Kluyveromyces lactis: one gene and its partners. The protein of the gene in region 6 interacts with the protein of the main gene of each other region in a pairwise test. Links are inferred from orthologs where the notes say so. Each region holds a gene or a part of one and is shown on either strand. Other genes may lie near its edges. The genes, in order: BUD14, KLLA0_F17545g, END3, LTE1, KLLA0_C17380g, KLLA0_E15511g and SST2.

The links.
Region 1: the proteins of KLLA0_E15511g (region 6) and BUD14 interact in a two-hybrid assay, tested with the Saccharomyces cerevisiae proteins (2 studies listed by BioGRID, with this or other methods). The link is inferred for Kluyveromyces lactis from reciprocal best matches to the Saccharomyces cerevisiae genes KEL1 and BUD14.
Region 2: the proteins of KLLA0_E15511g (region 6) and KLLA0_F17545g interact in a protein complementation assay, tested with the Saccharomyces cerevisiae proteins (2 studies listed by BioGRID). The link is inferred for Kluyveromyces lactis from reciprocal best matches to the Saccharomyces cerevisiae genes KEL1 and EPO1.
Region 3: the proteins of KLLA0_E15511g (region 6) and END3 interact in a two-hybrid assay, tested with the Saccharomyces cerevisiae proteins (2 studies listed by BioGRID). The link is inferred for Kluyveromyces lactis from reciprocal best matches to the Saccharomyces cerevisiae genes KEL1 and END3.
Region 4: the proteins of KLLA0_E15511g (region 6) and LTE1 interact in binary tests that used the Saccharomyces cerevisiae proteins (3 or more experiments, as listed by UniProt). The link is inferred for Kluyveromyces lactis from reciprocal best matches to the Saccharomyces cerevisiae genes KEL1 and LTE1.
Region 5: the proteins of KLLA0_E15511g (region 6) and KLLA0_C17380g interact in a protein complementation assay, tested with the Saccharomyces cerevisiae proteins (2 studies listed by BioGRID). The link is inferred for Kluyveromyces lactis from reciprocal best matches to the Saccharomyces cerevisiae genes KEL1 and SPA2.
Region 7: the proteins of KLLA0_E15511g (region 6) and SST2 interact in a two-hybrid assay, tested with the Saccharomyces cerevisiae proteins (2 studies listed by BioGRID). The link is inferred for Kluyveromyces lactis from reciprocal best matches to the Saccharomyces cerevisiae genes KEL1 and SST2.

What each region holds. Positions count from the first base shown.
Region 1 is NC_006039.1:388,372-392,375, reverse strand, and holds BUD14 (protein phosphatase regulator BUD14), read right to left. Parts: upstream 2,565-4,004; coding exon 501-2,564; downstream 1-500. Other genes in the region: KAP104 (Kap104p), read right to left, coding at 1-208; ADE1 (phosphoribosylaminoimidazolesuccinocarboxamide synthase), read left to right, coding at 3,345-4,004. UniProt on the Saccharomyces cerevisiae protein: Important for bud site selection. Seems to be a regulatory subunit of the BUD14-GLC7 type-I phosphatase complex. The BUD14-GLC7 complex is necessary to regulate microtubule dynamics at the cortex and may function as a specific activator of the dynein complex.
Region 2 is NC_006042.1:1,609,820-1,613,853, reverse strand, and holds KLLA0_F17545g (uncharacterized protein), read left to right. Parts: upstream 1-1,234; coding exon 1,235-4,015; downstream 4,016-4,034. Other genes in the region: PKR1 (Pkr1p), read left to right, coding at 133-513.
Region 3 is NC_006039.1:982,694-985,759, forward strand, and holds END3 (End3p), read left to right. Parts: upstream 1-1,423; coding exon 1,424-2,566; downstream 2,567-3,066. Other genes in the region: AXL2 (Axl2p), read right to left, coding at 1-313; chaperonin-containing T-complex subunit CCT2, read right to left, coding at 2,717-3,066. UniProt on the Saccharomyces cerevisiae protein: Component of the PAN1 actin cytoskeleton-regulatory complex required for the internalization of endosomes during actin-coupled endocytosis. The complex links the site of endocytosis to the cell membrane-associated actin cytoskeleton.
Region 4 is NC_006037.1:362,629-366,735, reverse strand, and holds the start of LTE1 (mitotic regulator LTE1), read left to right. Parts: upstream 1-1,307; coding exon 1,308-4,107. UniProt on the Saccharomyces cerevisiae protein: GDP-GTP exchange factor for TEM1, a Ras-like protein, component of the mitotic exit network (MEN).
Region 5 is NC_006039.1:1,523,561-1,527,515, forward strand, and holds the start of KLLA0_C17380g (uncharacterized protein), read left to right. Parts: upstream 1-1,155; coding exon 1,156-3,955. Other genes in the region: KLLA0_C17336g (MCT family MFS transporter), read left to right, coding at 1-363. UniProt on the Saccharomyces cerevisiae protein: Involved in pheromone-induced morphogenesis and efficient mating, perhaps as a cytoskeletal protein.
Region 6 is NC_006041.1:1,387,436-1,391,425, forward strand, and holds KLLA0_E15511g (uncharacterized protein), read left to right. Parts: upstream 1-1,190; coding exon 1,191-3,908; downstream 3,909-3,990. Other genes in the region: TDA11 (Tda11p), read right to left, coding at 1-819.
Region 7 is NC_006040.1:894,780-898,658, forward strand, and holds SST2 (GTPase-activating protein SST2), read left to right. Parts: upstream 1-1,231; coding exon 1,232-3,379; downstream 3,380-3,879. Other genes in the region: cyclin-dependent serine/threonine protein kinase SGV1, read left to right, coding at 1-113; GCD11 (translation initiation factor eIF2 subunit gamma), read right to left, coding at 3,517-3,879. UniProt on the Saccharomyces cerevisiae protein: Desensitization to alpha-factor pheromone. Is involved in regulating the signaling pathway for responding to mating pheromone.

The DNA of each region.
Region 1 (4,004 bases), on a different chromosome or scaffold from region 6:
TCAAAAGAATACCTGCAGTACCTCTTAACTGATCCATTTCCTCAAGATGAAGTAAAATGTAACATAAATAATTGGCAAACTGTGGTTCTAATTTGAATGTTTCCAATGCATCGAGTGCTTGCTGTCTCTCATCAGAATTAGTTGAAACAGCATGTTGTAATGTCAAACAAAGTTGAGTTAGTCCTTCGTTATCTGGTGACCATGGCATACTGGGATTCAAGGTTGTTTATGGAGTCTCCACGGTACTGACCACTTCCTTATCAGCAATATCCGTGCTTCCTCCTGCTCAAATGTTTTTAGTGAATTTGATATCTCTGCGATGAGCTAACAAACCAAAAAAAAATTTTAAAGTCTAATGCAGTACTGCGGTCACGTGTGTTATTCTTTCGGTACTGAAACAGGAGATGAGCACAGACAGATTACTGAAGCAATAGTGATTGCTGTTGTTGGGTTATGTCTCTATAAAAGTTAGCTACATAATGCGTTGAATGGAGGTAATATCAGTTTGAGATGGCGTTTTCTATCTTGTCCATCATAACATCTATTTTGCTGAAAATAGGGTTGTACAAGGAGTTAATCACTGGATGATAATCCCCTACTACACCAGTGCTTGTATGCAATGCTACTTCAGAAATTAATGGAGAGTTGTGTTCATGGTCCATGCAACTTGAGGCTATAGAGGATGGAACGGTGCTGTAAGCGTTTGTATTTTCATCTGGTAAGATACTATTTTCTTCATCAATATCAATAGTTTTTTCTGTCCCGACAGAACTGTTGATATCTACAGCATTCAGTGTAGATATCGAATGCTGGTGATTATGAGTTACTTTTGGCAATGATTCACTATGTTGCAGAGAATCTTCATCATGAAGAGAGTTCAAATCAGGCGCATCTTGCGAGCTTACAATTTTCGATATATCTTGAATAGCTCTGGAAGATGGGATTTGATCATTCAAATTAGACTTCTCGAATTCCTTTTCACTTAGCAACTGAGGTGAATCATTTGTCCAGTCTGAAGAGGAAGGCGAGTATTCTCCGATTGTAGATATGGAACAATTTGAATTTGAATTTGTCATTTGGGAAGTACCTCTTGGTGCTGCTACTGGCATAGTGGGAGCTTGAAAGACTTGTTTTAGATCATTTTGTTTCTCTGACAACAGATCCGTCAAGGCAGGTTTTGAAGGTCTATTTTTTTGCACCATTAATGGTGCCATTTCATGGACATTGAAGGCAGCATCACTTACAACTTCGCTTACATCATCTGACAAATGATCATTCAGAAGGGTTTCATGTATTTCATCGACATGTGTTAAGTGAGTTCCAAGATCTGTTCCCAGGTGTAGATGCCCGTCTTGCCCGTCTCTTGATTCCACATCATGAACGTATTCTCCTGCACCATTCAGTTCTCCGCTGTCGTCCTCCAATGGTTCTTGCTCTATTTCATCAATATATCTTTCAGCATAACTGACAACATTATTGAAGCTAACCGATTTATTAGTTTTTGAGTATGCGTTCAACGGGGACTCAACTGCCTCAATACTATCTTCTTTGTTCAAAATATTCGATTCTTTGCTTGAATTTGAATCCTCTTTATGAGAAATTGAATGTGATGATATATTTTCGTTTTTCCAACAGTTCAGTCTAGCTAACCTTTCAGGAAACGTTTCAAGAAGTTCTGCAGGCGCGAATCCTATTTTCCCATCACTGCAACGTTTAACTAACCACCAATAAGAGTCCTGGTCATTCAAAAGAGTACAACCTTCGTCCTGTTCCAACTGGCAATGTGATGGATCAGGTCCCTGGAACGGGTATAATGCATATAATTTGCTGGGGTCTAATTCTTGCGGCGGATTTAACGGCTGCAGCTCATCAGAATCATCAGATTCATTAGTGTTCCAACCTATATTCAAGTCCTCTTCGTCGTTGTCATCTTGTTCTTCTGCCTCATCATCGTCATCATCAATATCGTCATATGATCTCTGCTCCAATCCGTTTCTTGCTTCTTTCGCACGATCTGCCACCATGTTATTATCAATAGCACTCGATGTATCGTTTGCAACTATCCCTTTCACAGAAGAAACATGTTCTCCGCTGTTTCTTTGAGAAGAAGTCTCTAAACTTCTTAACCGCTCCTCCAAATTATCTTCAAAATCCGAATCTGAATATGCATAATCTGAATCCTGCAGCTCGTTCCCATGTCGCGAACTGAAACTGGTATCATGCTCATTATCGATATCCTGTGCTAACTCTTCTTCTCCTTCTTCTTCTTCCTCCTCATCTTCCAACTGTAAATCACCGAGATCCGGGACACCTTCATAGTCAACTTTTTGACGATTTACGTCATTAGCATGTGCTTCAGTCGGCGTTATCACAACACTAGCATTGACACTCAGGGATTCCTCGTCCTTCTTGAGGCTTCGCATCTGTTTCATGATTTCATCGAAATCCTCAACCAGTGTAGGATCAGTTAATATCGATAGATCAGGTTTTGATCGTTCCCGTGATCTTAAGCCAGAGCCCAGACCTGCGAGTCCTGACATCTTAGGATACTCCAAATCCATCATACGATACAACTCGAGTGGTATAATAGCAGTTAATGCACAGATAGGATTCAGAGATGGAAGCTGATAATACTTTTCTCCAAGTAACGCGTGTATAAATATATCTCTGAAACCTCAGTGGAAAATGTTGCACCAAAAACAAGAGAATTAAAAGCTGTTTCAAGCCTCTTAGTGCTTTATCCAGAGCGGAAAATCCCCCTGAAAACCCTTCTAAAATGGTTTGTTGCGCCTTTTGTATAGGTGCTAGCTTCGATAAGTCGAACGACCTTTACTGTACGCTATACACCTTTCCCTCTCTGTCTCGTTTCATGTTCATTCTCACTAATTCCACCATATCTGTATCTCTAAATGTATATCACTAAAGACTAACGGCTGTGAATGTCAGAAACTTCGCTATGCGAAAAAGGAACTGATGCGAAAGAGAAACCGAAATATATTTCATTACCCGGATTACTATTTTAGCATTACGTGGAATATATCAGTCACGTGTTTAAATGATGATTTTTGACTTGACATATCTCGATATATTTCGATATTACTTTCCCTCGAGACATGAGAAATAAAAAATTGAAATGCGATGTATATAATGAGATGAGCCAGCTTTGTAAGTACGTGTGCAAATTAGGTGGTTGCAAAGCGGTATAATCACTTTTTCACTTAATATTTGATAGATGTTAGAGAACTATCACATCTAAGCATTAGCTGATTCACGTACTATTACTCACTCGCTTCCGACTATTACTACTGCGGAGATTGAAATTGAAAAGAAAAAAAGGGATCATCATGAACACGACAAGCATCACTCAAACCAACTTGGACGGTATCCTACCATTAGTGGCTAGAGGTAAAGTTAGAGACATTTACCAAGTCGATGATCAAACTTTGTTGTTCGTCGCTACTGACCGTATTTCTGCGTACGATGTCATCATGAAGAATGCAATTCCAGAAAAGGGTATCTTGTTGACCAAGTTGTCCGAATTTTGGTTTGATTTCTTGAAGGAAGATGTCCGCAACCATTTGAAACCATTAGGTCCAGGTGAAACCATCTTTGACAAATTACCTGCAAAGCTTTCAGAATCTAAGTACAAAGTTCAATTGGAGGGAAGATCTTTGTTGGTTCAAAAACACAAATTAATCCCATTAGAAGTCATCGTTCGTGGATTTATCACAGGATCTGCCTGGAAAGAATACAAGAAGACCGGTACTGTCCATGGTTTACCACAGCCAGAAGGTTTACTGGAATCTCAGGAATTCCCATCTCCTATCTTCACTCCTTCTACTAAAGCAGAACAAGGTGAGCACGACGAAAATATTTCTCCGGAACAGGCAGCTCGATTGGTCGGTCAAGACTTATGTGACAGAATCGAGAAGTTGGCTATAAAATTGTACACAAAATGTAAAGACTTTGCCAAATCAAGAGGTATAATCATCGCTGACACAAAG
Region 2 (4,034 bases), on a different chromosome or scaffold from region 6:
CTTGTTCACTTGCATTCTGGCTATACCTTGCTGATTTCTACTCCAGGCTCATCATCGATTTCTAGTACAGCATATTATAATCCTCCGTTGCCAACCACTATAAAAAACGAAATTCACCTGAGACACTCAAGAATGACTAACTTTGTTGTTGCACTGTGGGAAAGCATTTTCCAACCAGGAACATCGCCTCAATTGATCATTGCTACTCATATCTCGTTTGCACTATTGCTTTGCGTGTTGGGATCGCAGATCTATTTAACCAAAAATATCCATTTCATCGCATTAACGATTATCGCCACTCTACTATGGATCACCGTGACGTGGTTCATCTACGAATTACAAAACACAAAGCTTGTTACCAACGAAGATCTACAAACAGCTGAATCTAAAAAGACTGATAAGACTGAGCCTTCCAAGCCCTCTGAAGAGATAAATCTAGAGGGTGTTGCGAAACCTGATCCTAAACCATCATCTACACCTAAAAAAAGGAAAACAAAATCAAGAAGAGCTTAAGCTGGTGATAAACCATTCTCTCACCTGAGCAACTTTCTGATTAGACTACATTGGACAGTAAGTAAAATCATTTTTAAACGCAATAACCACTGCATAGACTTGTAACATTTGGGAACCATATAAAATTTAATTCAAATACAAAGGTTGCAGAAGCCATTATTTCGTCAGATTACTACGATCTATTATATACAACGTTGTGTAAAGGCACATCCTAAATAGCTGCCTTCCGTTTCCTTTTTCACTCTTCGTTATTGTTTCATGCATAATCCATACATTTCATGTTCGCTCGGAACTTCTATGGCATTCAGATTTCGTTTTGAGAAAAAAAAAAAAATATGAACGGAAAGTAAATGAATCTTAGGTCTGTTCAAACAATTTAGGAATCAGTTTGAGTTTTGGACTTAGTCACTATTAATAGGTTGTATTTCCTTTTATCTATTCTCTTTCTAGTACAGTCATTTAGCCTAGGTTCTGGCAGAATTTATAATCCAGAGGAACCAATCCACAGTACGAGTGTAATTGACTTATTCCCTACCGATTTTGGAACGCTTCTTTGGTACATCAGGACTTTTGATAACAACTTAGAGGTAAGTCCTTAGATTGTTTGTTTGTCATTGTTAAAGGAACTTTTCTATACGTAAGTGCAGCTCATTTTACAACTAGCCATCTTTTCGTTTCTTGTAGGTTGTGCTTTATTTCTAACCTTTTCTGATCGTGGAATATGGATGCCGGTGTTACTGCGCTTGATCAACGACGTGGAGCGGGCATGTCTTCCAAGGCCCAGCTGCGGAACCAGTTACTTCACAGCGATATAGGGAATATTGATATTACTAAGGAGCAGCAGATAAACAAGCAGAAGGGAAATACAGGCCCCATGGCCCCACCTGTAGTTCCGTTACAAGCCCAGCAGTACGAGTCCAATTACAACCCTTCGTCATATAATTACATGCAACAGCCTCGACAACAATCTCTGCAGATGCAACCAAGACCACATTTTGATTACCCAGGAGACAGTAGTAGGAAATCATCCATGAGTTCTTCTACTGCTTCCTTCTCTAATTTCTTCAAGGGTAAATACAAGAAACTCAATCAAAAGAGACACAGTCAATATGACGAAAAAGCTAATGAGGATGACGATAATACAGACTTTTCGGATCATGATTCCTCTTTCCTTACATTCAATGATATTTCTTCCATGAGAAACAATGGTGGGCACGCATACGGTTACGGTGGACATCTAGATGATACCTCTCCAATAATACCGACCATCGTGACTTCCGGAAACACAAACTCAATGAACAATATAGAATATAGAAAACTTATGATGAATCAAAAGAAAATGGCATTTAACAGTCTTGCGAAGCAGCAGCAGCAGCAAGCGCAGTTCAGTGCCTCAGTTCCAGGTGGTCCTAGAACAATGTCCTTGCAAAATTATCATCAACGTCCTATGGTAAGGCCTGGTGTTTCTGGCCCGGGAACAATGATGGGTCCAGCAGGCCCTCAGCAATCAAGAATCCCTAGGCCTCCAAACGGTAGCAGATTCAACTCTTTGATGGGAGGGGGGGCTTCGCCGATGGCTGGTAGACCAGGGTATCCTCCCCAACAAGGTCCTCCAAATGACCCACGCACAATGTCGTTAACTGCTGACAGACGTCCACCAACTCAAATGAACGGAAATTCACAGTTTAGAAACGGTTATCAAGGTCCGTATGCCGCGTCACCAACAGGATCCCGTAACATGGGTTTTCCTGGTCAAGTTAATGGACCAGTGCCGGCAAGAGGTCCACCTGTTACTGGTAGCTCCCAATATGGTCCAAACTCTGGTCCAAGAGCCATGTCCCTGCAAACTCAATCGTATCCGCAACCATTTTATCAACCAAAACAAAATGTATCGCAGGATAATGTATTCAATGAAAGACAAGCAACAAGCTCATTAGCCCCTCCGCCACAACCACAGCAGCTGGTGAATAAGGCGGCATCGGGCTCATCCTCTTCATATGCCAGTGTGAATAGCGTCATTTCTGGTAGGGTTTCTGAACAAAGTTCTCCGACAACTCCCTCGAACGCATCATTCGATGAACAAAATCAGATACCATCACTGCCAAGATCACCGGTGAAATACCAACTACATGCCACTTTGTCGAATGATAATGAGGACTTTGAAAAAGACAAGGCTCTTCCTAGCTTTAACGAGGAAGAAGAAGATCAACAAACCTACAGCGGGAATAAGGATCATTCACATAGCGATGAGCAATATGATTCTGATTCATTGGTGAAATTGAATATATTAACGTTAAGTGAACCCGCAAGACAAGTGTTGCAGATCGAGGAGGAAAAAACGGAAAAGGAATACGACCTAGTGGATTCCTCGGAAACGAAAAGCAACCAGCAAGATTCTTTGAATGATGACATAAATCTCAGGCCATCCACCGCCTTGATACAAAATATTCCCGTGGATCTATCACCAATATTAAATCCTGAAATCTCGGACAACTCTTCCAGTCGAAACTTTGGCGACAACGTCAATAGAACTGAATCAATTGTATCAAAAGCCCATGCGGCGGTCGACAGTGGGAATAGTAATACTAACGAAGTACTACAATCAAAACATGATTCCTATATCGCATGTTCTGGTGAAAAAGGCTTGAAGAAATCAGGCAGCAGTTTCCAGAAAGCGAAGAACTTTTTGATGAAGATCAAAAGGACGAAGAGTGGCGATCAAAGACCGCTCACTACTGTACCTTCGTCCGCTAGAAGCAGCAGGAGTTCGATGGCAGTAGATGAAGGATCCGAAATCCAGTTAAATGATACTTTCAGGGCGAAATCGGGTGCATCCAGCGATAAACGTAGAATATCATATCATTCTCTTTTTTCCGCGTCATCTGCTGGTAATCACCACGACCAATATAGTAATAAGGAAAAGACATTTGACAGATCAACTTTGCAAATTCGTAAGTCGATGATTATTGGTGAAAGCACAGAGATACAGGAAGTGCCTTGTCTTGAGAAAGAATATGTAAAACAGAAGGCTGAACCTATTTCCGCGTTGCCATATAAGCCATCTTTTGCTTCTGAAAAGGATCCCAAACAACCCCTGTTGATCACTGAAGAGTATTTGAATATTTTGAAACAAAATATGATGTTGATGCAAGAGCTACAATTGGTTTCCACGGAATTAGCCGAGTCTATCGCAAGGGAAGGTAGATTAGAAAGTGAATTAGAATCAAAGAATCCGAAGGAACCAGAGTCACCTCAGGCTCTTTCTCTACTGGATTTCGAAACGGAATTAAGGAAAAAATCGTCAAAGATTGTTGAGTTGATTCAAAATTTGAACGAAGAAAGGCTCAAACGTTTCATTGCAGAAGAACAGAATTTATTATACCAACATGGTATAAAGCCATCTCCTAACGAACTCGCCCTTCAAATAAATGAGCTGAAGACGCAACTGCAGTCCAAAGATCTACTGATAGAACAGTTGCAGAAGCAAGTACATGATTCTTGAAGCAAAATGAAAAGAATCC
Region 3 (3,066 bases), on a different chromosome or scaffold from region 6:
CTTTAAGTATGATGTCGAAATATTTCGTATCTTCGTTATCATCAAGGAAGTCGGAAGAGACCTTACCTGAAAAAGTCAAAGAACTACTATCGAATGAAAGCCAATTTGGCAATTCAGAAGATTCATATGATATTTGAACGGATCCTTCGTTAGTTGATTTAAAGGTGTCATTAGAGATTTTAAACTGGAAATCCTCGTCAACTCTTGCAATTGGTGGAAGCTGTTTGTTAATAGGATAAGCTTCGTATACAGAAGCTGATGCGACGGCAAAGAGAAGTGACAGCGCCGAAGACAACAGCAACTCAGTCTTCATAACCCTAAACCCTGTATAATGAACTAATTTCCGTTCGTGTAATTTCTCTTATTCCAAATTAAAAACTAAAGTCCAGTTGAACAACTATGAGTAAACTTAGTTCCAATTTTCCTTGTATGCGTTTCTTGAGCTCTTAATTCTCTCTCTGCTATTGCTTTCAGATGAAGGCTGTCAAGGAGTGAATGAATGGATCAATGAACAACGTAGCGATCGGACAGTTAGTGCTGCTCCTTCTATCTCAAAAGTTAATGGATAGTATAACGTAAAAGCGTTACTGGATTGCAGAACCGTTAAGATGAGGAAGAAACGAATGGGCCCTGAGAATACATCTTGTTTTATTTAAGGCGGGAGCCCTCATCTCGTGAAATATATGAATATTAATTGAAAGACACCAAAAATATCACAGTTGCAAGACAGGAAAAACCATTATTATATTTTGGTATTACTTCTCAGTAAACTAACGGGCCAGTTGGAAACAATCGAAATCCTCTACAACCCTGTCTTAGCTTTTTTCATCTCACATTCTACTTCTGGTCCCCCAAATTCTCACCTACCTCAAAGTTCTGAAGATTCACTTATAATTCTTCTTTTGGCATCCTTAAAACATTTCGCGATTTCTCTAAATGTGTTACCAAAATAGGATATAACGCGAACACCGGGTAAACCAGTAGCATCCACCAAAAAGATATAAAAAAAACAGATACAAATTCTTGTCACGTGAGGGGTTGTTTGACTATTATTCAAGGTCACGTGTGTTACGTATAACGTGACTTCCCCTTTTTGTAATGTAGGTCAATGGAATTTTGATTTTCTTTCAGCACTGAAATGGGTGATATTACTGTTAAGATCAATACGATGAACTATCCAAAAGGTTTAAATTGCAATTTATTGAAGTAGATAAGGTTCCAAACGATTCAAACCGAAGAACACGCTAGAGCGATAGCAGGTATAACATATTCTTGTTTTATTTGTTCCTGTCTCTTTGACTGATTGTGAGTAACGCAGGCATACTTCAAAGAAAACATTACGTTTGAGCTCAGTGTTAATTTGATATCTGACCTCTATTTTAATCGCGCTTGACTCCACAGATAATTCAAATACCAATTTAAGATGCCAAAGCTTGAACAATTTGAGATCAAAAAGTATTGGCAAATTTTCTCCGGATTGAAACCGGTGGAAAATAAGTTGACCCATGATCAAGTACTGCCTATCCTTTTCAATTCTAAATTGGACACCTCGATACTTAACAAAATATGGTTTTTGGCCGATATCGATGATGATGATCAACTAGATTTTGAAGAGTTTGTGATTTGTATGAGAATGATATTTGACATGGTTAATAAAAACATAGATTCTGTACCAGATGAATTGCCAGATTGGTTGATTCCCGGTTCAAAAGCCGAATTAGTCAAACAAAGAAAAACTGAACGTAGTAGCGGAACAGCAGAAACAAGTTCTGTGGTCAATGTTCCGACATCTTCGCCAGCTGTAGACGATTATCAAAAAGAAGTTGATTGGTATATATCAAGAGATGATAAGTCACAATACGAATCAATTTATGAATCAGCCATAACCTCTAGAGACAATAGTGTATCTTATGTTTCACTATCCTCCGCCGTTAGATCGAAGTATATCAATCTATCATCTCAAGATTTAGAAAAAACGTGGCGTTTGGTTAATCCTAAGCTTGACACTTCCATAGATAAGGATCCAGCACTATACTTTATTCATATTCTGAGACAAGTGAACGACTATGCTTGCCCAATACCATCACATTTACCTTCAGCATTGAAAGAAACTTTTACAAAGACTAGAGTTTCCACGGATTTGTCTTCCAAGCAGAGCGAAGTAAGAAGGCCAACACTATCCACATCTAACTCTTCATCTTACCAAATACCAAAACGTGGTGGTACTGATTTTTCTGTTACTCAGGGAACTGATTGGGAAGTAGTCAGACTTCAAAGGGAATTGGCAAATATTGACTCTGAATTATCGTCAGCACAGCAACAATCCACCTCTCATAATGACTCAAATGATAGAATGAAATTAGTAAAACAACAGTTAGAACAGTTCTTGGAATACCAAAAAAACCTTGTCAATAATTCCAATACTTCTTCAGAAAGCGTTGATGTTGGAGGTTTGAGGGATGATATAGAGAGTATTGAGCAGCAAGTACAAATGTTGGAGGAGTACCTGAAAACAAAGAAGTCGGAACTGCATAATTTGAAGATAGAGGTGCAATCTCTTTACTGAGGTTATTGACCTACCCTATATACTTTCTGGAGTAAATTTTGAACTACGTTGTTTCATGTATAATGATAATTCACTTCTTAGCTTAACTTTTTGGATATTAGAACGAAATTTAAACGTTTGTGGTGATTGCTTAGTACTAATTTAATTAATTTACATATGACCGTGCTGTCTATCGGCTGTTCTTGGTTTAGCCCTGATAATATTATCCACTCTCAAGAGGACTTCGGCTGCTTCGCTGGCTGAGGTTACTACAGCTCTTTTCAATTTATAACTTTCCACGATCCCTAGTTCTCTCATGTCAGCAATGGTGCCGTTATCCAAATCCAAACCTGATGTACTCATGCCGTTGTAAATCGAAGATCTTAACTTTGTGATCAATTCACTACTATCGAAACCAGCGTTGTCCGCAAGAATAGTAGGCAATTGTCTTAGGGCTTTTGCAAAAGATTCTACAGCAAGTGCTTTCTTACCTTCAACATTTTGCCCTACTGTGTCAACAG
Region 4 (4,107 bases), on a different chromosome or scaffold from region 6:
CGCCAACAAACAAAAATCACTATGATTGGAAGTGAAGAGCGATTGAACTTTAACCTTTGTGGTTGTACTAAACTAAAACTTAAGTGTTTGATCACAGGTCCGTTATCACCCTCGAATATCATTCCCGAGATTAAGGTAACACTGTTACTCTACGAAAATGCATAAGCAGATAACAGGCGACTGCTCAAAATTCAAACCCTATCTGACACTGGAACAAGAAATAATTAGGGGAACAAACTGAAAATACGCACGCTGCTAGCAACAAACGACCATTATAACCTTAAAACACTGTTATGCAATCAACAGCGATCTCAGGGGCCGGTCAAACTACCACTCGTGCTCACATCAGCATGAAAGAAAGCATGTGCATGAAGAACTGTTCAATTCCCAAATAGGCAACTCGCTGTCCCCTCGAATCCCATATCAGGATTCCACATGAAGGTCTGAAAAACTATACCGATTACATATTTCCAACTACAACCAGGCTGTTTCTCCTTATCTTGGGCCCTGTTGTCTGAAAACGGTCTTATTATGACGGACTTTTATTGCTTGTGAGGTCCCCATTTGAAAGGAAAAAACCGGACAGTTCAGTTTAACAAGTTATCCTATTGCTGTCTCACTGTTACCTCTAAATTCTGCCCGGCAAAAAAGGTATAACCCTGCATTCATGATGGTTGCACTTCGTTTAATCATCTGTTTCTTCAAAGGGATTGATAAGATAACAACCTAAACCATTTATTCCGGAGAATGCGCGGCGGGAATTTGACAACCCAAAAAAAAAAAAATTCAAAACGAGGGAAAGAGAACCAGAAGTGAGCATGGGGAAAATATCAGTCACGTGGACAAAGATATACAATCCAGTTTCCATCCACGTGACTGGGAAATGTTTTTCATTACCCAGACTTCAACTCAAAACTTCTCGAAAGGCATTCTACAAACCTCAAATGCACCGATGATACGGCGAAATTCTGTGAAAAATGAACATAAACAATGGTGATTCTGTCATGAGAACCAAAATATCAATAATATGTTTTTTTAGTAAAGAATCGAAAGTGGGAAAGAGATTCAAGATAGACAAGGAAAAAAACAAGGGAAAAAGAGTGGAGTGAGCGTATCATTTTTTGAGGCACCCGCCTAGTGTTTGGATTAGTTTTACCAATATTTTCCTGTTTTGGTATAACGCATCGAACATTGAACCACAAGAACTGTTTATCTTTTCTTTTCACCGTTGATCTGTTTTTACAATTTGAAGAAGAAAGTACAGAAGAAGAGCCTAGTGAGGAGAGAACTCTAGTGAAGTAGAAATTATGTCTGAGGTCGTTGAAAAGGCTGACGAAAACGTTGTGCCGTTATTTAGTCGACCTGAATTGTACCCTGTGCCTAGTGAAAGTGTACTGACTGTAGATTTACGCGATGGTACAGTACGAATTCTTAAATGTACGCTTCCTGCACTTCTAGTGCAGCTCTCATCGCCGCTAGATAAAGTCGACTATTCAATGCTGACGGATTTCTTTCTAGTCTACAGAAATTTCATGAGTTCTCAGAAATTGCTGGATCTAATTCAAGAGAGATTCCAATGGGCGATTGACTTGCGTCAATCTGACCCTAGTTCCCAAGAGAAAATTACATCCGAGGTTATACTGGTACGGATGTTTGTGCTGGTAAGGCATTGGCTGTCTAACTATTTCGCACAAGATTTTGTCGTCGACACGTCGTTGCGTCGTCAATTCCTTCAATTCATCAACGGATACTCTCCAGTTGACAGGTTCCTGGACAATATTATAATTAGTTTAAAAAAATTATGGGTTCAGAACGTTCAAATTATGTGGGAGGATTTAGAAAATCTCATAGTGGAAAATAACGTTGTATCGCGCGATGATTGGCTCAAGTGGGAAATAGAGGACGTACCGTCTGGTTCTTCTTCGGAAACAGGTGAAGGAAGCACGAAGGGGAAGCGACTTAGCTTTATTGCATTACAAAATATAAACAACCCGGTACTCAGGAACGAATCCTTACTCTCGTTATTGCACACCAGAGAGAAGATACCTCTACCACAACAATCAGAAGATGAATCCAAGAAACAGAGCACACGTATCAAACAGAGAACTGGATCAATGCTTTTGTTCCCAGAAAATGCTTCCAACGGACTTTCTATTAACGAAAAACTAACGGCTTCAGGAGTCTCGCCAGAGGCCACTCCGAAACAGGAGAGAGAAATAACAGACCCCAAGAATTCGAAAGATAACAAACATATCCTACCGCAGTTGTCCAGGGTCACTAACGTTTCTTATATGATGAAAGATTTGGAATACCCTTCAACCCCTTCAGTGGACATCTTCGTCCCACCAACACCAGCGAAGAATATAGAGTTTATCTTGCAGACGTCGTACATGGAAACAGATCTTCCAGAACAATCTAATGGCTCAGATTCGACGAATACCGTAAATGGCAATAACACAAATCACAAAGGAATACTGGGTCTATTGTCTAAATGGAAATTAAATCATCAAAGAAAACCAACTGTAAATCCTGTCCAAAACCCACCAAGGGTTGAAAATCTAATAAAATATGTATTTTCCATTTCTTCATTGGACAATCATGCGAATCCATTGCCCGATTCGCTTTCTTCTATGTTTGATATTTTGAGTGCAAGAACTATTGATGAGGTAGAATATCTTGTTTCTGTGGAAAGTGATCTTTTAGCAAAATTAGAAGCTAAAAAACTAACCACTGAAATATCTAAGTTGGAAACAAATGAGGATGAATCGCAGGATTATAGTGTTATTGATAATCTTAACCTTTACAAAACTGTTTCATCAATCGCTAACTCAGTGATATCGCTATCTAAAACTTTGAATGTCAGAACAAACAAGTCAACTACCCATCTGTTATCTCCTTCAACCTCGGCCCTTGAGAGGAAAAATATAAGAAACTCTGCACCAATGCTGTACTCTTACAATAATTCTAGATACAGCATCACGAATGCCTTAATGGGACTACCTAATACCAATGACAACAGCAGTCCAAAAAGATTGGTTTTCCATGATCCGACAAGGAACTCTCCTACAAAGAAGGCCATACTTGCAAATAACCTGAACAACATAGGAGAATATAACGGTGAAAGAGACTCTATTACTTCTATTGTCACTTATGACTCTGCATTTTCAGATATTTCATCTTCTGGGAATATCTTGAGTCAACATAAAGGGAGTAGTAATATTTTCATGGAATCTGCCCCAACTTTGAAAAGAAAGCTGAATGTTAATGACCTTCGTAGGTTCAATTTCGAGAAATCTGATTCGACAGATGACAGATCCTGTTCACCACAAAATAGAGAAGCAACGGAGACGAGTGCAACTTCAATGGAAAGTGATGCAAATGATAATGCTATCCAAGATGAGTATGAAAACGAAAATGAAGATATTGCATCGTTAATAACTGCATATGAAGAAAGTACGTCTGAAATTGATACCCAATGTCAAAACAACGCCCAAATTAGAAGACCCACAAGTGGCAGAATTAGTATAACAAGAAACTACAGTGTTGCCTCTCCCAACTCTTTGAGGTCCATTCTCCCTAAATCTCCTCTCATTTTGGGCAATGAAGTTTTTATCGAAAGAGATAAAGCTTTGGCTGCAAACCAGGACATTATATCGGAATTAGAAGAGACGACATCTCTCTTACTAAATGATAATGACAGAAAGTTTACAGTCAGCCGAGGTTCAGTATGTAACGACTCGGACTCTCAAAGCATCTCCACAAATTTGCTGTTTAGTTCTGCCCAAGCTTCACCCCAAAAATTGGTAATCAAAGAAGTTGATGTCATTCAAGAGAAATCGGAGCATCCCGATGTCCCTACGCCAGTATTATGCAAACAACCTATTTCAAAGCTTTCTGAGACTCCAAGTATAAAGTCAATAGGAAGTCGTGATTCAGAAGAATCCTTTGATCTCACGTCGATTGCTAGTAAACCAAATCGCGCACAATCCACAACTCTGAGAGAGAAATATCATCTAGAAAAACAGGCAACTAATGACATTTTCGAGGAAGACGTTGAAAACTTGAATCCAGAGAATAACAAATACCTGTTTTCCCCAGACACTGATA
Region 5 (3,955 bases), on a different chromosome or scaffold from region 6:
TGGCCATTACAAACAAGTATCATTTCCAGAATCGGTGGTCTTAACAAGTTACCAGCCATTTATTCTTTCACCTGGCCTTGTATCGGCATGATGTCCATTGTTTCCCCAATCATTGGTCTAAGACTACGTAGTAACGATCCAACAGTTGCCAACCAATACGTGAATACAGCCATTTTCTCCGGTATGGGATATTTCGGAGCTGCATTTTTCCTATGGATGATTCGTGGGTATCTAATAGCTCGTGACAAGCTCGCCATGGTTGCAAAGACAGGTCACGACGATGGTGAATTGCATTTACACGTCACGATTCCGGAACTCTTGAAAGGTCTACTGACAATCGGACGACTACCAAGAAAAGTTTGATGTATATAATAGAAAAAGATATACTAAAACAAAACCTAATAATATGCATGTATATTCTAGTATAATTCAATGCTATACTATAATTGCTCACACTCATTGTTGCAATGCTTTCGTAAGTGCGATGCTTAGCATACATTTTGCCCAAATCACCAAGGTATTGGTATCCGAAGAGTTGTATTTCCAACAGAAATCGCTGCTTTAGCTCAGTTGGGAGAGCGTATGACTGAAGTTCATAAGGTCCTGTGTTCGATCCACAGAAGCAGCATTTCTTTTTTATTTTTTTTATCGATTCTCTTTTCTTCTCATCACGTGAAAGAAAACGCCAAACTTTCAATAAAATTACGCGTTATCACGAAGAACGAGGTGTAGTAAGAACGCTTTTTTTCTTTTGGCTGAAAAAACGATGAGTTCTTAGGTATGGAAATTGAAATATTGGAATTAGAATCTTGTTTCAATTCGAATTAAACAGTGGATTAACTCTTCTTCATGAAAGAAAGTCAATTGTATAGAATCAAGTATTCATCATTACGAAATAAGTGCGAGTTGTTGTGAATCAGCGGTAGCGGTTTGGTAAAGACGATACAAGTCTTAAAAGGAGAAGGCCGTCAATTATTTAAACTTGGGAAAGTATCGAATTGAGTTATTTACAGACACACTGGTTTCTTCGATTTCACTTCCCTTTTTTGACCATTATACTTGAAACGAGTGTCCTCAGTGACAATTGCAATTGACATTAATACGTGTTCTTAATTGACCATTGTTTGATAATTTGTTTTCATTTTACCGTTCCAAATGAAAGAGGGTGCTAAGGAACTGAAATATGCACAAAAAGTGCAGATCCATAATTATTATGTTGCTTTAAAACAATTCTTTGAGGTTACCGGTGGTAGCCATGATAGATCAATGACATCGCGTGCTCAGAAAGCACGTTCAAAGCTGTTAAAACTTTCTTCGTCACAGTTTTTCGAGTTGAGTACTGACGTCAGCGACGAATTGCAAAGACGAATTGATGAATCACAGCCACAACATGACTATTTAGTTCCTAATGAAAGTTTCCATGCAAAGAGGAACCAGGCAAGACAAAAATTGGCGAACTTATCCAATGCGAGATTTAATGATTTGGTCGATGATATTCTTTTCGAAATCAGAAGACGTGGGTTTGACACGTTACCTGAACCAGAAGAAGCAGATTATCAGGAATTCCCAAATGCTGATACTGATGAAGATTTTAATTCGAATGACAAGGCAGAGGTCTCCTCTCCTGCATTACACGTACTTGATTCTAAGCCATCGCCAATTGTACCTAGCAGTATAAATAATACGTCGGTGGAAAAATTACCAGAAGATGAGAATTCTGCACTTAATGCAACTTTGCAGACTTCTACAGTCATTCCAAAGACAGCATCAATCGACTGGAGTTCAGATGAAGAGGATCACAAACCAGAAGCTGATGAGAAGGAATTAGCTAGTGAAGACAATGACGTTATTAAGATAGATAGAGCGTTTTCACTAAATCAGTCCCCGGTCATTATTCCAGATGAAACACAAAGCCCACCTCAACCTACAGCTTCCTCACCTGTGGGAAATAGAAGTCCGATTTCCATAGATGACCATTTCACGTTCTCAGAGAGACCGTTATCACAATCCAGTGAGGCTAGAACTCCATTGGCTCAAACTGCTGCCACTACAGCAATGGCTGCAAGTGCTGGGTTGTCGCCTTTCACCAGTAATAAAAATAAAATGGGATCCTTGTCTCAATCGGTAGAACGTAACAAAGATCGTGATATAGAGCTATTAGTTCTGGAAGGGAATAAGTTGGACAGTACCATTACAACTTTGGAGAGAGAAAAATCAGAACTTTTGAATCAATTAGATGAATTGAAGACCAATAATCAACGATTAACAGAAGAAGTTCAGCAATTGAAACAGAATGCCGACCAATCAAGTACTACTAAAGCTCTAGATAGTAATTTCCAAAAGGGAATGTCCGAAATGACTACTCAACTAAATCAACTGTCAATAGAAAACGAAGAACTCAAACAAGAAAAACTAGAACTTCAGCTGCAATTGAAAAATATACAGTCTCCAGTTAAATCGATTGACGGTAAATCAGGGAAGGATGCTGCCTATTGGAAATCAAAGTATGAAGACGCTTTTGCTGAAAAACCTGTCAGAACAAGCTCTTCTTCTATGGCCCCCATTTCAAACAAGCAACTTTTCCCTGAAACTAGTATAATACCGTCAAATCTCATCGACGACTTGGATTCCAAGTTATCACAAATACTAAGCCTCATTGTGTCACCTGAACCTCCAGTTTTGTTTTTATTCGAGAACATTGCTTCCATTTCAGAATATTGTTCAAAAATTTTAACTTTAGTTCACTCCCCAGATACAAAGACCATGAGACTAGTGTTAGAGAACACAATATCACATGCTATCACATCTGTGCGTTACTTCAGCAGCTATAAAACTCCATTATCAAGAGTTATTCTTGAAAATTCTGTTTCAGAAATCTCATTTGCAATCTATGATTTGGTTAAGACGGTAAATGGCGGATCCAATAACGATGAAATATTCACATCAAATAAATCTGGTGATCAACTGGATAGTCCACTTGGCCTCTCCATGCAAAATAGACAAACCTCGAATAACTTTGCTAAAGGTTTACACGAGGGAAGTGTTTTAGACAAACCATCACTTCTTCCTTCTCGGGCTGATAGCGTTGAAATGTCTCCGGTCAAACCTTTGAAAATTACCCAGAAAAAAAATACCGACGACGCGTCATCAAGGCCTGTTTCAGTTAGAAAGCCCTCTGGAACTGGCTTATTTACAGCAATGCTTAATGGGGGTATGAAGAAAGATAACGCATCAAAGAAATCCAAGAATATATTGCAGTTAGAATTACCTCTGGATAACAATTCCAAATCGGAAAGCAATGCTCCTATAATCGAACGCAGAGAATTGAAGACCATTGATGCAATTAAGTCTGCTTCAGCCAGCAATTCACTTCTACCTACTTCGCCACTTGCCAAAAAATCATCAGCAGTTGTTCCTTCTGACTTTAAAGACCCAAATCCTTTTGAGTTATCATCTCCAGAAAAGGGAAAGCTATTGCAAAATATTAATTCTGACATATACAACAGCAATGATGAAGAAACTGAAAGCGAAAGTGTAGAGGAGGAGGACGATGGGAATTCTACATATGAAGTGTTAAGACAAACCATGAAGCAAAAGCATCTACAAGAAGAAAACGGAACCAACGAAGAAAAAAATTTGAAAGGAATTTTTTCGCCAGTGGTACATCCACAACCTATTGAAGTTTCAACAGAGGATGTCGACTTAAATGAGAAGTCATTCAATTTTGAATCTGAAGAAAATGCTAAATCTGAATCTGAATCTGTACCTTCGATAACTGTAAACAAAAAGAATATAAAACTCGTTCCTATCCCTGCCGTTACTCCAACTTTGAAACAAAAAGAGCCATCCCCATCACCTACTGCCGAATTGGTTATTTCTCCATTAAGGCCTATAGTAACTGCTTCTGATAATTCAAAAGTTAATGACGATCAGAAGGCCGTCGATGCCAACAAAA
Region 6 (3,990 bases):
CTTAATTTGCCTGAAAAGATCGTGAACTCGCCTTGTCCTTTCCAATATCTCTAGTTCCTTGTTCGCCAGTGATTGCAACAAAGATTCCATATCATTATCATCTTCAGAAACAGATGGCACTACTTTGGCGGTGTCGGTCGTAGTTGTAGGCAACTTCAATTTAGTAGCTGGACTTGCGCTAAATTCTGTGGTGGCTCCATCCGGGAGAAGTGATCCAATGCTACTTATGCTGGACCGCACAGATTTTTGTCCGTCATTTCGGTCAAGTTTTGATCGATATTTCCGTCCCAGCGGGGTATTCGATACAGACTCTGATGGTTTGCAATGCTGCTGATATGATTGACGTTGCTGCTGCTTAACTGTGTGCTCTGGAGACATTAATGGCATTATTAAAGACTTTCTTTTCCATGTGTTGCTTCTTCGTATTCCTAGCTCCTGATTGCCTCCCTTGCCATTTGTAGCAGCAGAAACCCCGTTACCATTGTTCTTTACGGTGACTTTACCGGACCCCAATGATACATCGTCCTCGTTCTCCTTCATATTGCCAGTGATATCGTCTTGATCTGAATTATCACCTTTCAACGGATGCGAGTCAAGTGTGCTAGTAGGATCAGCCTTGGTAGGCGTTAATTGCAACTGGATGTTCTTGTTTCTACCGGAACTCCCCACAGACTTGGGACTCATACCGCTGGATCCTTGGTTAAATGTAGGGGTAACGCTCCCTCTGTCCGTAACTTCATGATATATTTTACTCTTAGTATCAATATCGTTCTCTTTGTCTTGAAGGTCTATAAATTTCTCCAATACGTCTCTATCCATTGTTTATACCCAAACCGTACACATAAAGATCTAATTTGATTCAAGCCTAGCTTCTTACTACGGTCAGATCAGCCTTTTTACCCTTATCCTTAACTTGTACACTAAAATCAAGCCCCAAAGTTACTGATTGAAATGATAATTTCAGTCTTTCACAGAATTTCGTGTTGTTATGAAAATGAAACAGTGTAAACTTGAAGTTACCAGAAATAGTTCAGACGGCTGCAACTTTTTGCAGTGCGTAACAGCTTGAGGTTCCCAGCAGTGGCTTTATTACACCAGTTAGTGGAATCAAATACTTTGCATATCACATATCTGATTTATCACTTGCTAAGGAACTGGTATTGCGTATTTAGACGGTTACAAACACAAGAATGGCTCCATTCAAATTTGGAAAGAAACAGAAGAATCGGAAAGATGCTTCTGCATCTCCAAATACAACACCTAATTCTAACAGCACTATTGGTAACACTAGCTTTCAACAAGAATTGAGATCTCCTGGATCTAGTTCTACACCTACCAAACAGAACTATCCAAAACCAGCTGCAGATTCTGGGTTACTTGCGGCTCAACAACGCGTTATGGTCAGTCCTGTTGAGCAACGATCTACGTCCACTCAGAGTACCCTACAGCAGCAGGTGTTCACGCCATGGAATAGAATTAGACTAAAGCAGTCCCCTTTCCCCAGATATAGGCATGTTGCCAGCTCATATGCTACTGACAGTGGAGAATTGTTTGTAATCGGAGGTTTGCACGACCAATCGGTTTATGGAGATACATGGATAATCAAGTCACTGGACAACGCTACAAGTTTCAAGTCTATTACAGTTCCCATTGCAGATGCTACTCCACCTCCTAGAGTCGGTCATGCCTCCACACTGTGTGGGAACGCATTCGTGATTTTTGGTGGTGACACTCATAAAGTGAATGATGCCGGTTTGATGGACGATGACATATATTTGTTCAATATCAACTCTCACAAATGGACCATACCAACACCTCAAGGACCTAGACCACTTGGTAGATACGGTCACAAAATCAGTATAATTGCTGCGAACCAAATGAAAACCAAACTTTATGTGTTTGGTGGTCAGTTTGATGATACCTATTTTAATGATTTAGCAGAGTTTGACCTCTCATCTTTCCGGAGATCTGATTCTCACTGGGAATTTATTAAACCGGCAACTTTCATGCCACCACCCTTGGCTAACCACACGATGATCTCGTTTGATCATAAGTTGTGGGTATTTGGTGGTGATACTCCTCAAGGTTTAACTAACGAAGTCTTTATGTTTGATCCAGCTGCCAATGATTGGTGTGTAGTGCAGACTACAGGAAACATCCCACCGCCATTACAAGAGCATGCTGCTATCATATACCGCGATTTAATGTGTGTTTTTGGTGGGAAGGATGCGCAGGACAATTATTCAAACGCCGTGTATTTCTTAAACTTCAGGAGTCTAAAATGGTTCAAACTACCAACTTTTAATAATATGATTCCAAGAGCAAGATCCGGACACTCTCTCACTCTGTTATCAAATAATAAACTGCTAATCATGGGTGGTGACAAGTTTGATTATGCTGTTGGTAACAGCACCGATGTACGCACTTCTGATGTCGACATGGGAGCCGGTACCATTATTTACACTTTGGACCTAACAAACTTGAATGAGTTTTGTCCTGACATCTTTAAGATCGATGATGTTGATCACCTGGACAAATTTAGTACGCCATTATCGAAATCCAATGGAAGATTTGATGAATTGAAAAACAAACAAGCTTCAATTCTATCACCAGATGTACCAGAAACGGTGAACACAACTCCTGCAGTTAGAAAACGCTCTGAGTCCGGCGTCCTCGGACCTACTGCTCCTAAACCAAAATCACCAGTTCCACAACAAGATGCCAATACAGATCCTCCAAGAGTATTGTCCTTGCAGTCTCAGTTAAGTTCAGAGACGCAAAGTGACACTGATCCTGATGTTGGGTCTGTAGAAGTTGTTCAGTATAGAACTTCGCCGACAAAAGGTGATGTAAAAAAATACGCTGTTGGAACCAACTTGAGATCCTCATCGGACTATGAAAATTATTCACCATCTATCATGCATAACACAGGTGCTGAGCCTTCGCCTAAACCTAACTCCTTGTCAGATACGACGCACTTCGATAAATCCATAGATGTAATAACTGACGCTGATAAAAGCCCTGTCACTTTAAGTGAACCTGCTCGTATTGTTTCTGAAAAGAATGAAAACAACATTCTGAAAGAATTACTTGAAGAGTTGAAGCAATTGAAGGAGGATACTGTGACCAGTGCTACTAGTGCAAACAGCAGAATAATGGAATTGGAACTAGAAAATACAGAATTAAAGCAATTGAACCAATTAAGTCACTTGAATGACATGATTAAGCACCAAACAGAAGTAATTGCCAAGCTACAATCAGAAGTCGATAATAAGGAGAAATATGTGGATTTGGAATCAAAGTATATCGTATTATCTGAGAAATATGAGTCTCTCACGAAAGAACTCGATTCGAAGAAACAGTTCATCAATGAAAACATAAAAAAATGTAGTGAATCGTTGGACACTTTGCTCGATGGCATGAGACAGAAACAAAAAGCTCACGAAACAGTTGTAACCAGGCATAAAGAAACAATGACCGGTCTTGATCGCAAGTTAAGCGAAGTAATTCTTCAAAATAAAGAACTGACTACATCCAGGGACCAGTTGTTCACAGAATACTCCAAATTGAAGGATGAGCATGCCTCAAAACATGAAGAACTGACCAAGATGGAAAGAGAGTACAGGTCAGTTATTGACTCTGTTCACAATTCTGGGAATGCGATGGAAAAGCTGCAGAATGAAATTATCAAACTAAGACAAGAAAATTCAAGACTTAAATCGGATTTAGAGAATACGATTAACCAGGAAGCAGATGATTCGTCCGGTTCTTTGAATGATGCTCATTATCAATTAAAGATAAACGACCTTCGCGCAGAATTATTCATTATCAAACAGGAACGTGATTCGCTAAAAGACGATGTCATGACTCTCAAAAAGAAACTACTTCATTCTGAAGCAACACTATAGACTCTTAATAATATCAACCGTGTAAAATAGAATGTATTGTTTAGATATATATATTTTCAACTATTTTAATTTGTTTTATATT
Region 7 (3,879 bases), on a different chromosome or scaffold from region 6:
CTTCTGAAAATCCAGGGACCATTGGCCATGGTAGCTCACAATCTACGCAAAAAGATTCCAAGTCATCGCATTCCAACAATGTCAAACCAAAAGACGTTGCAGACTACTATTGATTAAATTTAAATTGGGCTTGAAACTATGCTGGTACTTTTCTACTTTTTAAACCCAACTTGACATGTTTTTTCCCCAAAGTGGCCTGCTGCTTCGAGATTGTTAAATAGTATATAGATAGTTTACGAGGGAAAGTGCGTTTGTTTCTCTTCATGTATCCCAGAAATTCATCCATTAAAGTGCTAACCAGATTATGATATGTGGTCTGTGAATGATATCATTACGTATAAAAGGGAAATTATGGCTGATGAAGATTTTTTGCTGGTATAAATTCATTGTTGATGTATCCAGATTTGGAAACCAAATCAAAATTACGCACGTCAATAATCACCAAGCAGCAACTTAAATATACTGATAAACAATTTAAACATGGTCATTAAGTTATGCACTTTCCAGCAGAATTGAACCCTGGGGTAATTTCTTTGTTGGCGGTGCATCACAGAAATTCCTCGAACGTTTCAACTGATGCTCGATGTGTTTGCTATAAACAATTCCAACAAGCAAATAGGTACCGATTTGCACAAATAATTAAAAGAAGGCAAACAGTGCCTCATTTTCACACTGTGTTTGAGTATCGATTAGAATGTCGGTATAATAATTCCACCGATCTTATCATAGCTTTATTGTTTCATTTTCCTATTTCTTGGACATTTTGAGGTTTGTACCGGAACTTTGCATGTTTCATGTCAATATTGCCCAAAAAACACGCTGGAAGGGAAAAAGGAAAATGATTTGATCACAAACAATTCAACATTGTTTCAAAAGATCCGTTACTGGGTGAACCAGGATATAACCACGCCGTGATAATCTGAAACAAGCCATTAAGATCATCAACATTTGCCTTTATATATAGAGCACCAGGAATGCTTTGAGCCGTTCGATACAAATGTTAGCAACCCTACTTCTCGAGAGGTGATACTTGCAGTTGGTATTTATGTGGATTGTACGTTACTGCAAAACCAAGAACTGACAACTTCGAATTTATTCAGACGTAAAGACTGTTGGCTTCGCTTCACGAATTAAAGGGGGGTTTAGCTGTATTTATACCAGGAGGTATATGCATGTTGTACTGTCGCGCTCTTTGTTATTTTTGATTTACTTCTTCTTATGAATAGATAATATGGTCTCGGAGTCAAATAAAAAGGAAAAAACGCTGCATGAATTGTTTTCTAATAGCTTCGACCGCTCACCCGATGGCTCAATATTAACTCATGAACTGAAAACAGTATTTTCTATTATGATAATATGTCTTCCGCTGGAGGAAAAACCAAGATCAAGTAGCAATCGACTCTTGAATTTCGCTAAGAAAAGTTTTCCGTTCACATTTTCAATTACGGAGGCTATTGATCTACTACAGGAGCTGGAGCTTAATGTGGAAATGAATTCCACTAGTATCTACATCAGTTATTCCATCAAACCAGAACTGGGATACCAGCTATTGAACACTTTTATGAAAGCTAAATTACTACATACACCTGCGGATAAGACAAGAAGTCGGCCAAAAGAGAACATTCTTTTGCAGCCGACTCCTAAAGGGGTGGCCGTAACGTGTGATTATGCCAGGAAGTTTGCATTGAAAGAGCTGCCTCCAATATTAACTTCAAACTTCAATACGATGAATCTTTTCAAGTTCGAGCGAAATACGTTAGATGATTCTGTCATTCAAAGCGAATACTTCATAAATCTATTGTTCAACAAGGTCATGGGTCCAAAACCTAATATATGGTCCCCAAAAAATCCAACAGATAAAATTCCTAAGCTCTCTGACTTATTGGATCAAAGAAGCTCAGATGTTTTCTCATTTGAAAATGTGTCACCAGACTTCGCCGTAAACGAGCTTGGTGAAAACCCTAAAAATAATGTTTCAGGAAATTCACAGTCTCAACATACTGAAAACAATCTACATTCGTTAAACTCTCGACAACTTGAAGATGAGGACAGAGAATCTCCGTTTGCATATAGATTTTTTTCAAATCCAGATTCTGACTCTCACATTCAATATTATGTGAGTGATTGTGGGCTTCGATTGTTCGGGAACAAAACTTTTGGAAAAGGAATGTTTATTGACTACTGTTTCACCACAAAAGCCCTTTGGCAATGGTTGATGGAATGTACTGATATAATGTACCCTAAAGAATGTGTTGCAGTTGCAGCACTCTTTCTGAAATACGGCCTAATTACACCAATCTTATTACCTCCCAGTCAAAACAGCAAGAAAAAGTTTCTAATTTCAAAAACAGCACACTATACATTGACCCAAGCCGGTTGGGACGTAATTCAATGGGGAGTAGATGGGCTACCCAAGATTCCGCATTTCATGGACGGGGTTAAAATCGGAACGGATACTGAGAATTATGGCGGCGTTAATTGCAGCGTAAAACTCTCCAGTCGTTCACTCCCAGGTAATTCTCAGCTCAAAAGCGGACATGATTTTGGAACCAAAAATGTAATGGTGTCGAACTATGATGTAAGCTCGGATTCAAGTTCGAGCTCAGGTACTGGGGACGATAATTATAATCCTGACGGTTTAAAGTTGCTGTCTCTCAAACAAATTCTGGCTGATCCTGGGATGCGATATCTTTTTAGAGAGCATCTTTGCAAAGACATGTGTGCAGAAAACCTAGACGTATACTTTGAAATAACGAAGTTTTTAAAAAGAATGTCGGTTCTGCGAAAACTCATTGAGTCTCGAAACCAGAGCGAACACAATAAGATGGATCTAAGGGAATGGAAAACTGGTGGTAGTACTAAACTGAAAGATACAATTCAATCAGCTCTTTTAAAACAAACTAGCGAATGCCTTTCGCTGGTTTACCATATTTACTCCTCTTATATTGCACTGGGGTCTCCGTATCAACTTAATATTGATCATAACGTTAGAGAAACAATTACTGGAATAATATTCCACCCTCAGTCTCCAACTAAAACTGCGTTCGACACTTCAGGCAAGGAAAATTGTTCAAGAGCCATTTCGGATGCATCTGTTAATAGACCCTTAAGCCTCGATCCTGCTGCCCGGAAGAAATGCGTGGAGCATAAAGTACAATCCCATAGTAACACGTCAATGCCATTGGCGCCGACACCTCTTAATAAGGGTACTGAGTCATACGTCATTATTCATGCTATATCAATGTTGAAGGATTTGTATCAGTTACTGGAAAAAATCAGAAATACCGTATTTATCATGATGAAGAACGACTCTTTGCCCAAATTCCTGGCAACAGAATCGTATAGGGACGCAATTTCATTAATAACTGCTAACAAGTAGAACCTAGGCATTTCATCATGAAGAATAAAGATATTCATCTTGCAAAAGAATGTGGCCTTTTCTACCAAGAAAATGGAACATTAATGTGACAATATATACATATAGACATATATAAAATCATTTAGTTAATTTACAGATTAAGCGATTGGTTCAAGAGTGGTACCCTTCTTGATAGTAGCCCAACCAATTAAACGCCAATGCTTTTCGATACGTCTAGATAATGCAATCTTTTCATTAACTTCTGTACATGCAGGGGAAGTTAATTGTAATCTTGCCATATCGGCTTTGACGGCAACCACACGGGCACCAGTAGCGGTGGAACCGATGTTCACCATTAAAACTTCATTTGGCTCTAACTTTCTAACCTTTGCTTGTTTTTGACCATCGGTCTTTACACCTAATAGACGACGCAATAGGAAGTAGTTAATTTCGATATCGGTGTAGATAGATGGCAAATGGCCCTTAGCACCAACGACTTGACCCACTAGACGATCTGCTCT